2 linked regions of the Mus musculus genome follow. The protein of the gene in region 2 interacts with the protein of the main gene of each other region in a pairwise test. Links are inferred from orthologs where the notes say so. Each region holds a gene or a part of one and is shown on either strand. Other genes may lie near its edges. The genes, in order: Ugcg and Rtn1.

Region 1 (3,821 bases), on a different chromosome or scaffold from region 2:
TGAAGCCAGTTACATTGGCAGAGATATAGGATCTTGGGTGTGAAGTTCCAAAATATACCTGCCCGAGAAAACACAGATGGACATAGTCAATTAGGTTTTGGTGTTAAAACTATGAGGCCTGCCAACTTTCCCTAAAGCTTTCTGTTAAATGCAAGTGATTGAGTGAGCGCCCTGACGTGCTGAAGGAGGAGCACACCCCTGCGCTACTGTAGTTCGGGCAGTGATTTGTCTGGCTGACTACCCAGCTATCAGCAGTACCAAGAAAGTTACCTTTAGAGTGAAAAGCATATTCCCTGGCCAGAAAGCAACCACTATCTTTTCTAAAATCAATACATTAAAAGATAACTCCAGCCGGGCGTGGTGGCGCACGCCTTTAATCCCAGCACTTTCAAGGCAGAGGCAGGCGGATTTCTGAGTTCGAGGCCAGCCTGGTTTACAGAGTGAGTTCCAGGACAGCCAGGGCTACACAGAGAAACCCTGTCTTGAAGAAGAAGAAGAAGAAGAAGAAAAAACAACAAAAACAACCAAAAAAAGATAACTCCAAATAAAATGGAATTTATATATAAAAGAGTATTAACTGGTATATAAAATATTAATGAAATTTAGTGTCTCCTGATTTTACAACATTTGGTGGCATGTGTGTGTGTGTGTGTGTGTCTGTACAAGTATCTATGCATATACACAGAGCATGTATAGGTGATACCAATGTTTAGGAAAATTTTATTTCTTCTTAAAATTGTTTTAAATTCTGTATATTCATGTAAGTCTACGGGGGTAATGTACATCTGAATGAGTTCCTATAGATTGGAAGGTCAGGATCCTCTGGAGATGCAGTTAAAGGTTACTGTAAGCTGCCCATTTTAGGTGCTGAGAACTCAATTCTGGTCCTCTCTGGAAGAACAGAACTCATTCTAACTGCTGAGCCATCGCTCCAGCCCCTAATTTTGGACTTTTTCTTCTCTGTGACACGTTGGAACTGACTACCACCCTACTTGTTAGACCCTTGTTAAAGCCCTATTTACTATTTATATCTCAGATATGCTGCCTTTTCTAGTTACCTTCAAGAACAGAGCAGCAGGCTCCCTTCATCACAGTTATTCACATAGAGCAGAGTAATAGAATTTTACAAGGCAGCTAAGACATGATTCTGCTACCTACACTCAATGCAGACTTCACTGAAGCAATGGAGCTTTCTGTGATTGAACCAAACCTAACTTCTAGAGCAGAAGCATCCATCTTAACCGGCAAGCAGTTATCCGAGGCCACAGCACTAGGCGGGACTAGAGTTCAGTTGAAGGTTTCTTTATCATGCAGGAAGAGTCTTCTGGTTGTATCTCCATTCATTCTAAGTAAAGTAGACTGGGTGCATTCTGGGAAATGCCCTTCATTGATACAGACATCTATGTGCATGTTTCTAAGGTAAAAGCACATGATGGTATTCTATTTTAAAACAGTTACATGTAGTTCCTTTTATCAACCAGATAACTCAAGATTTTAAGACTAACAATCTCTTCCGGTGAGAGAAATATTTCCCAAGGCTGTGTTAAGAAAGAGACCATGAGCTGGGTGGTGGTGGCGCACGCCTTTAATCCCAGCACTTGGGAGGCAGAAACAGGCGGATTTCTGAGTTCGAGGCCAGCCTGGTCTACAGAGTGAGTTCCAGGATAGCCAGGGCTACACAGAGAAACCCTGTCTCAAAAAACCAAAAAAAAAAAAAAAAAAAAAGAAACTGGACTTGATGTGCACCTACAATCCCAGACTTTGTGGAAACTGGTGCTGAGCATGCATTGCAGGCCAGCCAAGCCAGTCCAGTCAAACCGAGAAGCTTCAAGGTTCAGTGAGAGACGCAAAAACATGGCTCAAAATACAGGCTAGCAAGTGACTGAGAAAGAAATACGATATCAACCTCTGACGCCCCCCTACATATATGCACACTCATCCTCCTACATACATGAGCACACATATACGAATGCATAAGAGTAAGAGAGGGGGGGAGATATTAAGTTGCCAAAGGTCAAATCAAAGTCCTAACACTAATGCGCCTTCACCCTCTTAGATCTGTGGCAATTAGAAGAATCAAGAAAATATACAGATGTACGATGTGCTGAAGAGGAAGTGGATAAATATCAAAACTGATACCAAGAGCCTTTCCCTTGCGACAAAGACAAGTGTTGCTTTCTGTTTAACAGTCCAGGATAAGATATGGCTTTAATGAAGCTTTACTATGGGAAATGCGTATGAAGGCAAAACCAAAACCAGTCACACGTGCCATAAGTGATCAAACAGAAGTGGATCTTCACTGTCCCTAATCAGTGCAGAGGTAGTTTCCCTTTGGGTGCTGGGGTGGTATGCCTCTTCTGTGTCTCTACAAGTTTTTCATTCTCTACATGATAAGAGCTTGACAATAACCTTGAAGAGAAAGGGTTGAAAACGTAGCCCAGTGGTGAAAAGCTAGTTTAGTCTGGTTAAGTACCAGAACTTACAAAAAACAAAACAAAACCCAAAAAACATACAAAAACGTGAAGGGGGAGGGGGAGAAGAAGTAGAGGCAGGAAGACAGGAGAGGGAGTAGAGAGAGCCAACAAAATTATGTATTTCATTCTTCCATAAAGGAATCCAGAGCTTTGTATATTAATTTCAAAAAAGAAAATATGTTTCTTTTTTGTTCTTGGTTTTTTTGTTTGTTTGTTTGTTTGTTTTTTGTTTTTGTAGAAAATATGTTTCTTAAGATACTTATTTAAACAGGGAATCAAGGGTTTTTTTCTTTTAAATAGGACTTGCAGGAACTTTTTTTTTTTCTAAATACTTTACAATATGTCATCAGGTAGCTTTCTGTTGAAAAGAACATTATAGAAGACAATAGTCTGGAGTGAACATCTAGAATTCAGTGAAGATGCTATGTGTCCAGCTGGGGACAGGGTCACCAGACATCCCCTATGCACAGCCACAGGGTGGGGTAGCTCAGCAGTAAGTGACCCCAAGGACCTGAGAACTTCCTCCTAGGCACAATGGTGCTCTCAGCAGGGTCCCACACCAGGCAGCAGAGCTGAGGTCAGGTAACCAGGTCTGAGGGAGGAGCTGCTGTGACAAGCACGTTTTGTAAGCCCTGCACTTACCTGCTCTAAGGTGGCAGCAAAGCCTTGTCTGTCGGCTACATACGGCAGCCCGTGGACCAACCCCACTTTCTCTGTCATCTGATTCACCATGTCAGTTAATGTGTCTGGGATGACTAAAATTTAGTGGGGGAAAAAAGGGGACAACAGAGAAAGGGAAAAGAGAGAGAGAATTTTAGAAAATGTCCATTAATGTAATTAAGAACATTTGGATTTAATAAATATCAGTCACTAATTCTGAGAATATAAAACTTCAAAAATCTACACATTTTTAGCCCAGGAGAGAAACTTCTTGCTATAACCATCTAAATAATGTTTTAAAATACATGAAAATGCTTATTAATAAGTTTACATATTTTAGGAAACATGAGCTCATTGATTTGACTCTTTTGGTAGAATAGTGTATTACAGAAGCGCAAAGGCTACAAACTGGCCAACAAGAAATGTTACACTGGAGAAGGGCTGCAGAGCAGACAGTGGCTATCACTATGTTTTTAATGGTTAAGATTTTCTCTTCAAATGCAAAGGTTTTAATACATGTACCATCTAGGTTAGGTTAAAAAAATTAAAATCTTACCACGTACACCTAACATATACCATACATGATGATGGAGTAAATTATTATTGGGCAAACCATAGACTGATAAATAATATATTTTCAGGATGTTTTTGGCATTCTATCGTCAAATGAACAGTTTTATAAAATAG
Region 2 (3,821 bases):
AAGTAAAAATACAGACCATTGCCCTCAGTTGCCTCCCAGAATGTAAGGGCTATTGCTGGAGATAGCACATACTTCTGACCAGGAACTAGAGGAATTGGAAGTGACCCAGGAGCTGCCTCATAGTACCCAAAGGCATTATGCAACCCGACAAGGGACAAAAGCGATCAATAATTCTCCATAGCTTTAAGGCTACAAACTACAACAATGACCAGCACAGCAAAATGCCCTCAAGGGTACAATAGTGCTACTTATGTCTTGGATGTAACCAAAAGCTATCTAATTGAACTTTAGGTCTGCTTAGGAGGAGGGAATATATATGCCTGGAAGCCCAGCCAACTAACTGCTTTGGAACTTCAGCCCTCTGCAGGCTGGTGTTCCCCACAGTGAAGAATTACCAATGTCTCTACCTGTTCCAGAAGATGGAGGCGTGACAGATCCTGGGCTGTCATCTTCAGGCTCTGAGACAGTGACAGTGGGCACTGTGTCAGGACTTGGCTTCAGACACAGGTCTTGCTTCTCGGGGATTGTCTCTTGTGTGGCAGTCATAAGAGGAGGTTCGATCTCCGTCAGTGTGATCTTGACAGGGGCAGTGACCAGAGACACCCTGTGCTGCTCATCAGAGAGCTCATCTATGTAAGGAGCAAAGGTAGATTCTTCGAATAAGTGGTCCTTGATGAGTTTCCCCTCCACAGGAGCTGGCTGGTTTGGTGCTCGAACCCCTTCTGCTTTTGTGGAGACTTCAGTGTCCTTGTCTTTAAAGTCCAAGTCTTTATCTTCTAGCCCAGGGTGTTGCTCCTCCTGGCCTTTTGCCTCCTGTGGCCTGGTTATGTCAATGTATTTGTAGGCTTCTGCCTTCATCTGGTCTAGGGGGTCAGCTAGGATCTTGTTCACCTCAGTGGACTCAGCAGGAGTCATCTCTATTCCAGAATCAGAACTCAATAAGCCCTGTGGCTCCATCCCGGGCACTTCTGGTAACGAGGGTCCGGGGGTCTCCGGCTCCTCAGGGCTCTCGGAAGTGGTGATGTGACCATTTTCCTTCTGAAGAATTCCAGTAAAGTATGCAGAGTCCTCCCGAGGTGGATAGCAGACGTCAGAAATCAGGGATGTGTAACATGCCCCTTCCCCATCTTTTAGTGTTGAAGAGGGAGAGTGGTCGAGGGCATCGGGAACAGCTGCCATACCTGTCAATCAAAATAATAGCAGACCATGAGTAAGCTCCTGGCTGGAGGTTTCTCTCCTGCCTAATCTACCAGATATCCCTCACTGAGAAAATACAGCACTCTTTCTCAAGACACTGGAACATCAGCATGCTAATTTTCTTTGTCTACATCTCAGGTATTTTCTAGGCAACAGATACCAGCAGTTCACTGTATTTCAACAACTAATATGCTCTAACTTCATTGACTTGATTTTGGAAGTGACTGTGGGTCTGTAAAATGATCAGTGGTGTAGACAGCTGGGAAGGACTTGCTCGTGGAGGCTAACACATCTGTGCGTCGAAGGGGCTCAAGGGCCTGTCCTTGTACTCAGGGTCCTGCTGGTTTCAGATTAAGCCCATCCATCGTCTACAGGGAAAGGTACTCCTCATCCTGAAGTGTCCTTATCTCAACAGCCTGCTTCTGTATTTCCCCAGGTCCCCCTCAATGGCTTCCCCTCAGTGTCTGCTTCCAGTGAGCTCATTAGCCTCTGCGAACACCAAAGCATTATACTGAGTATTCCTTCTATCTGGTGCGCAGGGGAAAACAAGTTGGTAGATTTCACTTTACAGGTTGTTTCCCTTGGGTCTTTCTTCCTGCCCCAAGGCATTGATTATTAGAAGAAGTCAGTGAGGTGGCCCAGCAAGTAAAGTCACTTGCCACCAAGCTCGATGATCTGAATTCCATCTTCAGGAGCCAGACAGTGAAAGAAGAGAACAACCTCCCACAAGTTGTCCTCTGAGGTCCACAACAATGTATAACTTCCAACGCAATAAAATTGAACTGTTTATTATTAATTATTATTACTACTATTATTAGCATTATTATTGGCACTAGCATTATTACTATTATTATCTAGAGGACGGGGGGGAAAGTTTCTACATCTTGCTGCAAAACACTGCAAATAGAATCAAACAGAGGTCAATAAAGACTTACTATATGCCAGGCAATGGTTTGCTGACCTGATTCTTTCTTACAACAGTTTTATATATTAAATCTCAGAGTCTCAATGTCTACACATAAATAAACTACACACCTGTGTAAACACACACACACATACATACATACATACATACACACACACACACACACACACACACACACACACAGCATGTACAGTATGAAAATCCTGGACACACTGAAAGAATATACCAGACAAAGGTGCCATCTTCTGTGAAAGTGGTCATTTGGGAATACCTGTAAAATACCTATACCTAGCATGAAAACTAAGTCAGAAACAATCAATGTTTCACATGGTGAATGTCTGGCCTGAGCAACAGACAAGATTGACGCTAGCAAACTTCCTCAATAGTGGGGCGGGCGGGAGCGAGCTGATGGAGTTAGGGCCTGAAGCACTTCCCTAAGAAGTGTGCCAGCCGCTTTCAAGTGCCCACGTCCCAAAAGCTACTCTTAGTTAAAGCATACAATGTTCCAGACACTACAGCACACCCTCTGGTTGTAGAAAGAACAATGCAAAGACCAACACAGGAAGCACAACATCACAGAGGTTCTGCTCTCACTAGATGACACCAACCTGGGTAGACAGGGAAGGTCAAGAAAGGAAGTGTGGAGGCAGACCCTGACCCGTCCACTGGTGAGGGGCTGCAAGGAGAGGCACACTATGCAACATCTCATTTCAAATTTGCATTTTACCAGGTCCTCTCTGTGTCTCTCTCTGTGCGTCTCTCTGTCTCTGTCTCTCTCTGTCTCTCTCTGTCTCTCTGACTCTCTCTCTCTCTCTCTCTCTCTCTCTCTCTCTCTCTCTCTCTCTCAACAAACTTCCCAAAGGCCACAGATTGGCCTGGCCTTGAGATCTCTCTGTCTTGGGATCTCTCAACTTTTGCTGGAAATATTTCAAATTGTGTGAGGAGTTTCTTTAGCCTTGGACGGTTTCTGCGTACCTCTAGAGGGGCCTCAGCTCCCTTCCCTTCTGTGTCTGTTTCTATTTACTTTCCCCACTCGGTTTTCGCTATTGCTCTAAATCTAATGCCAAGTCTTACTCTGCTTATCGTCTTTCCAATCCTACCCTTAGTAACTAACTAAGCTCCTCCCTCCTACTGATCCCCTTCCTCTTTCTAGACAGCCCACTATCTACTTTCACATCTGTATTTGTAATGATCCAATGGGGTTCATTGGAATTGCCTGTAGGAGCAATCTTAATTGGAAGACCATTTGCACCACTGCAAATATTACCAACTTGGGGAGTAGAAAGGGGAATAGTCATTGTGAGAATGCCAGCGCTGGTAAAAATTACAAAACTTTGAAATGTATATAAAGAAAATATCTAATTAAAAAAGAAAAAAATTACAAAGCTTATTTTAGCCCCCACCCCCCATGCCAACAATCTAACAGTTTTAAATTCCCAAAGACCAAAACTCCTAAAGTCTAAAATTAAAAAAAAAAAAAAGACAGAAAGAGAACCAATCCAGAGCCCTAGAGTTAAAAATGCTGAAACCCTAAACAAATTCCCATAAATTCCCACTGAAACAGAAATGGTTCTACATGAGGTTTGAGAGGGGAACGGCTAAGGAGGACACAGCTGTGCATGGATACCTGCTAAGGCTTTTTGGTTGTTTTGTTTTGTTTTGTTTTGATTTATGACTGAGGAAGTTTCTAGGAAAAAGT

The links.
Region 1: the proteins of Rtn1 (region 2) and Ugcg interact in a two-hybrid assay, tested with the Homo sapiens proteins (2 studies listed by BioGRID and IntAct). The link is inferred for Mus musculus from reciprocal best matches to the Homo sapiens genes RTN1 and UGCG.

The regions. Positions count from the first base shown.
Region 1 is NC_000070.6:59,213,273-59,217,093, reverse strand, and holds part of Ugcg (ceramide glucosyltransferase), read right to left. Parts: intron 3,230-3,821; coding exon 3,117-3,229; intron 59-3,116; coding exon 1-58. UniProt on the Homo sapiens protein: Participates in the initial step of the glucosylceramide-based glycosphingolipid/GSL synthetic pathway at the cytosolic surface of the Golgi.
Region 2 is NC_000078.6:72,307,749-72,311,569, forward strand, and holds part of Rtn1 (reticulon-1), read right to left. Parts: intron 1,182-3,821; coding exon 408-1,181; intron 1-407. UniProt on the Homo sapiens protein: Inhibits amyloid precursor protein processing, probably by blocking BACE1 activity.